Saccharomyces cerevisiae S288C: one gene and its partners. The gene in region 3 interacts genetically with the main gene of each other region. Each region holds a gene or a part of one and is shown on either strand. Other genes may lie near its edges.

The links. Genes that interact genetically often act in the same process or in processes that back each other up.
Region 1: mutations in FMT1 (region 3) and TFB5 together harm fitness more than expected from each alone (negative genetic interaction), as found in Saccharomyces cerevisiae (one large-scale study listed by BioGRID).
Region 2: mutations in FMT1 (region 3) and DPI8 together harm fitness more than expected from each alone (negative genetic interaction), as found in Saccharomyces cerevisiae (one large-scale study listed by BioGRID).

What each region holds. Positions count from the first base shown.
Region 1 is NC_001136.10:603,093-605,608, reverse strand, and holds TFB5 (TFIIH complex subunit TFB5), read left to right. Parts: upstream 1-1,797; coding exon 1,798-2,016; downstream 2,017-2,516. Other genes in the region: VPS41 (Vps41p), read right to left, coding at 1-1,601; PET100 (Pet100p), read right to left, coding at 2,210-2,516. UniProt on the Saccharomyces cerevisiae protein: Component of the general transcription and DNA repair factor IIH (TFIIH) core complex, which is involved in general and transcription-coupled nucleotide excision repair (NER) of damaged DNA and, when complexed to TFIIK, in RNA transcription by RNA polymerase II.
Region 2 is NC_001142.9:159,123-161,801, reverse strand, and holds DPI8 (Dpi8p), read left to right. Parts: upstream 1-1,954; coding exon 1,955-2,179; downstream 2,180-2,679. Other genes in the region: MRS3 (Fe(2+) transporter), read right to left, coding at 239-1,183; sphinganine kinase LCB3, read right to left, coding at 2,385-2,679.
Region 3 is NC_001134.8:200,086-203,761, reverse strand, and holds FMT1 (methionyl-tRNA formyltransferase), read right to left. Parts: upstream 1,707-3,676; coding exon 501-1,706; downstream 1-500. Other genes in the region: bifunctional glycerol-3-phosphate/glycerone-phosphate O-acyltransferase SCT1, read right to left, coding at 1-224; RRN6 (Rrn6p), read left to right, coding at 2,014-3,676. UniProt on the Saccharomyces cerevisiae protein: Formylates methionyl-tRNA in mitochondria and the cytoplasm. Responsible for the formylation of the 8 N-terminally formylated (Nt-formylated) mitochondrial matrix proteins that are encoded by mitochondrial DNA.

The DNA of each region.
Region 1 (2,516 bases), on a different chromosome or scaffold from region 3:
CTAAACCTCTCTTCTGATCCAATTACATATTTACCGATTTTCCAAGCTTTATAATATTGCTTTCTTTCCATAAACCAATCGAAATGATCCTTCAATGATAACTCTTGAACCCTGATGGCATCGTTGGAACTTATCAAATAGTATTCTGGTGTTGTTTTATCTATATGTTTACCGAGGTGATAATCATTTATAGACAATTTTTCATAGTTTTTCATGATAACTTCATCATTATAGATTTCATCACCATTAAAAAGATCAACAATTTTTAATTCTGGAGCATTCCCTTTGGCTAATAAGTTTTCTGGCCGCTTGCTAAAATTCTTCCCCTCCTTCATATCTTCATCTATGGTTGCTTCCTCTTCAATATCTATATCAAAACCTAGGCATAATAACTGATCATCCTTAAACGATGCAAGCCCTGTAATCAACATTGACACAGTAAAATGGCATTCTAATTCAACTTTCTTATCAGGTGTCCCTCTAAAACTCGATGCAGCACTAGACAAGAGAGATCCGATGTTTGTCGTAGGGTTAAAATGACTCATATTATTACTTTGAGAATTAGAGTCACCGGATTTGATCGAATTTGAATCCTTGGTAAAGGAAACTTTAAATAGCCAAATATTAGATCCCCATCCGATAACGACACGATCACTTTCTAAAAAATGAACATGGGGTCTAAATAGATCTGGCCTTACATCCTGTACGTTAAAAATTCTGGAGGGGAATGGAATATTCAAAAGCTGTGATCTTGTAGGAACATCGCAAAATGTTATTCCATCATCATCCATCCATAATATAAGGTCACCCATAGTATAAATTCCCATGATAGGGCCCTTCATATCAGAGGATAGGTCATCTTTTCTTGTTTTTTTCTTTTTCTTCTTGTTTAAAACGATGTCGATTCTATTTCCTAGCCAATTTCTCTGAGATAGTACAACGTCGCCAGCCATTCCACCAGAAACAAACATTCTGGATGCTTGAAAATTTGAGTGCAACGCTACAGAGTTTATAGGTCTTTTGAAATCGTATTGTGTAATGTTTTGTGGATCATCCATCGATCCGATAATCACTGTCCCGTCAATAGATCCCGTAGCAAAATATTTTCCGTCAGTGTTAATACAAAGTATCGAAGATCTATGGCATTTGATGGTTTTAATGGGTTCGAACGCGCATGTAGTTAAGTGTAGAATGCCTGAGTGTGTACCAAATGCAAAAAAAGTATCACCAAATAAACATGAAGAGATCGAGTCTCGTTGAAAAAAGTTCTTCGGGAGTTGACTAATTCGTGTGTACTTCAATAAGGGGGGCTCATCTTCGTCATCCTCATCTTCATCATCGTCATCATCATCATCATCATCATCATCACCTGTTTCTGCATCCGTCGCACTTCCTGTTATTGTACTCTCATCTGTTCGAGAAGCTACTCCATTTTCCGCTTGTGATATGCAACTAACACTTTTTGTTGGTGAAGTTACATTAACGTCTTCCCTCTTATTATCAACATTATTCTCGTCAGAGATGGAATTACTCTCATCAATTGTTCGTTCGCCTGATTGTTGATCCAAAACAGAATCATTCTGATGATTATCTGTAGTCATTAATGTCTAATAGTAGGTATATACTCTTCGTTAAAATGCTTTTTTATTTTGCATATATATTTTACAACAGTCTCAATAGCCCTTTTAATTTTTCTTTTGTATCGTATTATTGAAAAAAGACGAGCAAACTGCAGTAAGATAGAAGTGTACTCCCAATAGAGACAAAGCCAAGATACTTTTGTAAAAGAACGAAAAAATGGCTAGAGCAAGAAAGGGTGCACTGGTTCAATGTGATCCATCCATCAAGGCGCTCATATTACAAATTGACGCCAAGATGAGTGATATAGTACTAGAGGAGTTGGATGACACCCATCTTTTAGTAAATCCCTCGAAAGTCGAATTTGTTAAGCATGAGCTAAATAGGCTATTATCTAAGAATATATATAATCCTATGGATGAAGAAGAAAATCAGTAATTATTGCTCATTCAGCTTTTTCAATACTATTTGAATAGAGCATGACCTGCATAACCAGGTCAGACATGAATATAGAGGGGAAGTGATGATCTAGTGGAAATACGACTATACAGGTATGTACATGTTAGAATAATAAATATAAGGAAGAAAAAGTGGTCAGGTGCAAGTATACATCTTTAACCGTTTTCTTTTCTCATCCTTTTTTGAGAGCCAAATCCCGTTTAATTTTTTCTTTTTCCTCCTCAAGGTCTAAACCAAACTCCTCTTGTATCTTTTTCTCCAACCTAAGCCTTTTCTCTAAACGTTCTTTTTTCATCCTTGCCAGTTCAGCTTTAATCTCATAAGGCTCTTTTGGTATTTGGTTCAACGTTGCAGGATCTGGCCAAAACCCTGGAACATTTAATTTTTTATCAGTATCTGTACCAATATAGTACATTACAGCAACAGGTGCTAGCAAACAAAATGAAAATCTAAAGATCTCCAGTTGCGCCCTTGTATAT
Region 2 (2,679 bases), on a different chromosome or scaffold from region 3:
TAAATAATGGCAGCTTGCCTGCGTCCGAAATACCCTTTGGGTATACTAAACATAGATATATAAAGTAATGAAGAAAAAATGAAAACTTTTCGTTGAGGGAAAGAGCTCAAGCTTTGGGATTATCAAATTAAATTTGTATATATAAATGTACATAAAGTCACAACAGGAAAATGATAATATACACATAATCTTCTGAGATGCAAAATGAATGGAAAATAATATGACATGTAAGAACCAACTAATACGTCATTAGGAAATGTTTTGCACATTCATAAGCTGTCCATGATATAGCAGTAGCCGGCATGTTTGCCACTATCCTTGGTTTCCAACCTCTCCAAAACCCTTTCCAGCCATAAACTTGATATATGGCACTGGCTGCTTTACTAAAAGTATCCGCCTTTCTCATAATTTCCAACGAAACTGTTTGACTGCCCCTTATCTGCAGTACTGTCTTTATGCAGTCTAAAGGTGTTGTGATCGCCGCACATGTCGATCCGCTGATACTGCCACACAGACAATGTATGAGGGGGTTGTACTCATTTGATGGGTTTAAAAATTTTGTGGATGATTCATATATGACGAAATTAAATGCTGCAAATGGGATGTTCATTACTAGGGTGGTTGGGTAAGAATAATAAAATGCTGCCAAACCTTCAGATTGGTAAATCTGCTTTGTGGTTTGCCATACTGATGCCGAGGTATTGAGTTGGATTCTCTGTTTTATTGTGTCGAATGGGTTCATTAATGCGTCAGATGCCGTGGTGGCACAGGCACCACTGATAGCTGTCTTAAAAGGATGGTGCGTTTGCGTATCACTCGAATCGATAAGATTTTTTTTGCAGAACTCATACGTACCAAAATACACTGCATGCGCAGGTCCCGCACCTAGTATGACAGACTGAACACCCTTCCATAGGGCTAGAGTTCCTTCGGAAGTAGAGATGTGAGATATTTGCGAAAGCATATTCTTGGCAGACAGCGATTTCGCGTTGGCTGATTGTATTCGCGTCTTAAGGGCATCTATCGGGAACATCACTGAATGTTCCATTATACCAGCAAATGCACCCGCTATAAGTTGATGGTACAATGGCGCGTGGGTGGGGAGCGCCTCATAATCGGGTAGATCCATAGGTATTGCTGGAATTGGCCTTGTTGAATTATTACTCGACGAGTTTTCTACCATAATATCTTCTTTTTTTATAACATAAATATATTTACAGCAAACCTTAAGAGGTGTTAACGAATATGGGAATCGTGATTAATTAAGTGAAGTTACGATCCCAAGATAAAATAAGGAAGTTGTTGAAAGAGGAAAGAATCGATGAAGAAATGAACGACAAAATTACTTTTGTCAATTGTAGGGTACGAAACACCAAGAAATGCAATAAGTGCTATGTAAAGGTGATCCAGTCTTGGTTAGCACACACGCCCAGTTTCTCGAGAGACATAATGACAGTAAACGGTGAGTATAAAAAAAAAGCAAAAAAAAAAGAAAAAAGGAGCAATCGTTCGTTACAAACGATCTAGACTTGATGAAAAAAAACCCTAAAATGTCTCAGACCTAAAACAAAACCCTAAGAAGCACGTGATACAAACCTGTCACGTGCAACATTATGGGGTATGGGTGTGTCACACATTTGAAAAAAAGTGGGCGGAACGTGTGTGGGGGGGTGTCATGCCATTTCCACATTTGGTTGCTCTGGAGATAAGATCCACGAATGAAGGTGAGGGGCATGACTTCAGGGATCAATTTCCCGCCCGCAAGTTAGTTTTTCCGGTGGGAGCCGAGCATCAAGCATGACCACTTCCTGGTGCAGAGAGAAAGTTTCACACATATAAAAGAATAAACCGAAAGTAATGTAGGGAGATGTTTAATGTGATTTTTCACCTTTGTTTTAATGATTACGCACAAGTTTAAATATTACATTCATAAGACAGTAAATAAACGTATTAAATGATCGCCCAAAGTACCAGATTAGCCGCCGCCGTCTCTTCTTCAGCCGCCTCCGCGGGTGTCTCAAGGATAGCCGCTAGCGCCATGGCCAGCACTATTTTCAAGAGATCTCCGGGCAACTCGTTCAACTCTTTTAAGGAATATAGAGAAAATGCCAAGACATATGGTCCCTTGAGTGCCTCACTAGCTACCAGAAGACACTTGGCTCACGCGCCAAAGTTGTAGGCGTATCTTAATTATGCTCTTTTCTTTCCTGGTTTATTAATGATGATGACTTTAACCTATTCTTCTTTTGGGGTCCTGGTACGGTGCCTCAAATTTTTATACAACATGACTTTTTCAGTTACATATTTTTTTATAAGTACTTAATTTAGAAACGGATACATTTACACTACATTTTGTCTATTTTTTTTTTTTTGTTCCTTTTGTTTTATGCTATATTTAAGAGGGAAAATAGGACGGGGCTGCACATTACAACGGTGAATGGAACGCCAGCATAGATAATAAATCTACCTAGAATGTCAATCTTGGGCTCTCCAATATATAATGGACATTCGTACTTGCTTGCACCTTCTTTGTGCGTGGCCTCCAGTCTTTTTCTTGCCGCAACGTTTCTGTCATCCTTCAGATGGAAAACTTTGATCAATAACGTGTAGATCATCGGTTTGCTGATCACGTACTTCCAGATAACAACGCACGGTAGGCCCACCAGCAGCCTGGCTAAG
Region 3 (3,676 bases):
AAACTGCCCCGGCCTCTGATTTCTCTAAAGAAGCAGTGGAAGATGTTGTACAACAGCCATGTGGCGATGGAGTAAAGTATCTTCTTGGTAGCGCTAGGCTCTTGGTAGATGTATGCCTGATCAGCCGACGTCTTGACGCTTTTGGCCTCGATGGAACTGTAATTCGTAGTTTTCTGTGTGCTCTTGGAAGAGGCAAATTTCTCCGTGAGTTTTGGTGCAGGCATTTTTTTTTACCCCGATGTAAACGCCCCTGTGCTCTTTTTACTATATATTTAATTCCGGGCTTCCTACACTTAATTCACTCTGTTATGAACTACAAGCCATTACTAACATCAATCTTTCCGAATCATAAATAAACTGCAACTGGGAAAGAAGGCGGGCCTACTTTTCTTTTTCTTCATAGCGCGTAGGGCTTGGCAGCCATAGTTGTTGAGAGACCGATGGATGAGGGATTGAAAGAAGGGAGAAGAAGAATACTAAAAGAGGAATGTAGAGCCGGGTTACAGGAAAACTAACTTTTCACTCAGGGCGCCGCATCTTTTCCGCAGGCGCGCCATGAACTGGCCAGCACGTTCTACGGCGAAACCTTCGAACTGGAGGCGGCTCACACATAGTAGTAAGTTGCCGCGACAGGTGACCAAAATACAGTCTTTAATATCATCATATTTGAACATGCCCGGTTTACTGCCATTATCTAGACGTGCGTCTCTCATCACTTTACACTCATGAAACAATATTCGTTTTAATACTGAATTTTGAGCGTCCTTTCTTGCCGCTGTCGCTTCTTTGAACGCGTGCAGAGGACCGAGCGTTTCGAGTTTGTTAAGTAGTTCGGCGGCAGAATCGCGCGCCCAATGAATGCGTTTATCTTCTGTTGTTATACGGTGGGCGTAACTGGGTTTGTAAGCTGTTGGCGCTTGCACACGGTTCTGTGGTAGATATAACCTCTCACGAAGCGTTTGGCCCAAAAGTTGGGCGCCAAGGGCGCCCAACTGGTCCATCAGTATGGCAGTCCTCCGAGGCAGGCCCTCAGAATTAAAATCTGCCGTCGAATCATTGACTCTCCCTTTTGACAGCATTGTTGCGATCGCCAGTGGCTCCGTCTGCGCTACAATTGCACCATGGTCAAACCGATCCGGATGCAGTGTCTGTATAGTTACACCGGTGTAAGTGTCACCCTCGAGCAGAGCTCGCTGGATAGGTGCACTGCCTTTATGTCTGGGAAGTAGCGAAGGATGGACGTTTAGCGCCAATGGCACCGCGCGGATCAAGTCACCCGGAATGAGCTTCCCAAAAGAAACCGCAATGATCGCGTTGAACGGAGCACCGGAGCCGTCGTTCTCCGGATTTCCTTGGCGACTGGGTGTCAGTTTGCTTAGCGCCAACATTTCCTGCTTGGTGTCGCATGTAATTGGGCGTGGCAATTGAAGCTTCTCTGCCATATCGAAGATCGGCGGGTATTTCAAAATAGACTTCTGTCTACCGCACCACTTCGGCGACCTAGTTACTACTTGAATATTGTCCACTATACCACAGCTTCCATTATTTTGACGCAACTCATTGAGTGCTTGCAATGAGAAATTACTGAAAGTGTCGCTACCAAAGAAAAGCACATTCAAGGGCTGCACTGGTGGAGAAGCATTGTTTGAAATATATCTGCATGTGAATAGGAGGCGTGTAGGTGTTATTCTTCTCATTTTAACCATTTGTTTGATACGCCGTTTTCAATCTTCTCACTATGAGGTGCCTAGGTCCCCTTCCTTTTTTTTCTTACCTCTCTTTTTACGTTAATGAGAAAAGCGCTTACTCCTCTCCATAATAGCAGGTACAGCTTTTTTTGCTTTTTTCTTAATGGACGCTTCTTCCATTTGATATAAATATGGGTTACCCTGTGGGCATACGATAATTTTTATTCTCTCGATTAAGAAACCGAGATGAGCTTTCATATTAGTTTGGTAATGATATTGATGTGGCAAGTTGAAGTAAAGAGAGAAGGCGTTCTATGGGCTGAGCATGAGTGAGGGACAAATTCCAAGCTCAGATGTGTTAGGCTCGCAATTGGGTGTTGGTGTACAAGGCGCCAGTCTTTACTGTCCGCAAGAAAATTACACTACGAAGAAGCAAGAAAAGCCACAATGGCTAAGACCAGTAGATGATACATTGGCCGAGGATGCACTAGACCTTCATATAGTGGTCAAAAGTCTGCTTTGTGATACTGCCATAAGATATATTTCCGACGACAAGGTTTTGCAAGAATCAGATGCCGACGATGATCTCATAACTAGCGATATTGATGAAGATACGGACAATCAGGGGGATACATCTATAGTGGTCAATCCAGTGATACCCGTGGTACCGAAAGATGTCCATTTTTTTAAGAAAGTTGACGTTGGTAATGATTCTATGTTTGGTGTGAACTGCGATACGCCAGTTTCATTTCAAGATTACATTCCTTCAGATTTGCTGCGCAACTTAGATGATACATTACAAGAAAGTACTAACTCTTCGAGGCCGATGCAAGACGCCTTCTTTTGGGATCCTACTGTGGCTAATCGACTGGACTCTCAATATATTCAGACAGCATCAGATTTAAGAAATTATAGAGACGGAACCGAAATCATAGCATATGCCTCGGGTAAAACAGGCTCAGTCCTAAATATAGCAGTTCTGACACGACAAAATACATTGCATTTAAACCGACATAACAATGTAACGAGTATCGAATTGCATTCACCTATCAAGAGTATTAAGATACCGGGGGCCTCTGAGTCCATCGGGCGGAGATCAAACCTGGTGGGCATAATCACCGAAAATTCTTTCCAAATCTTTAGAATTGAAAGTGTCCACTCAAGATCATGTGATGTCATGGTTAGTAGTTCAGAACCACTGTATTTTGTTGAAATAGACGACCTTCAGGTGGTAGATTTTGCATTCAATCCTTGGGACTTACAACAATTCGCAATCATTGATATAAAAGGTAACTGGAGTATCGGGAGGATACCAAAGAATTTCAATAATAATAACAAAAGGAAACTACAGTTAATAGATAACCTCCACGGTACGATTTTTGATCCAGAAGAATTATCGTCATGGAAAAGAATAGAATGGTTTTCACACTTCCAAAAAATACTGGTCTTTGATAGGTCCAAAATGATTGAGATCGACTTTATGAACAATTGGCAAACGGAAGTAGTACAAGCGAAAGCATGGTCAAACATACGTGATTATAAGCGGATAGATGATAAAAATGGTATTTTACTCACTTCAAGGGAAATAATCATCGTAGGGGCATCAGAATCAAATGATCCAGTGAGAAGAATATCTTGGAAACACGATCTGGATCCAGATGATACTACGCTCAGAATCACTGTACAAAAGGTTAAAAAGCCTGACCATATTCTTCTGGTGGCCTTTGTATATTCGATGCGGCATAAACGCATCTATATGCATGTATTTTCCCATAGGAAAGCAAACTTGTTTCAATCCTTAGGATGCTCAACAGTTCTTGAAATTCCGGGTGGGACCCCCACCGGTATAGAGACAATCTTAACACTGGATCATATAGACGATGAATCTCGGAGAGAGGAGGATGCAGATGAAAATTTTGAGTTAGTTGTAGATTTTTTAGTCAAACTAAGGAACTCATCCGAGGTTTATTACTATGCTTTATCAAACA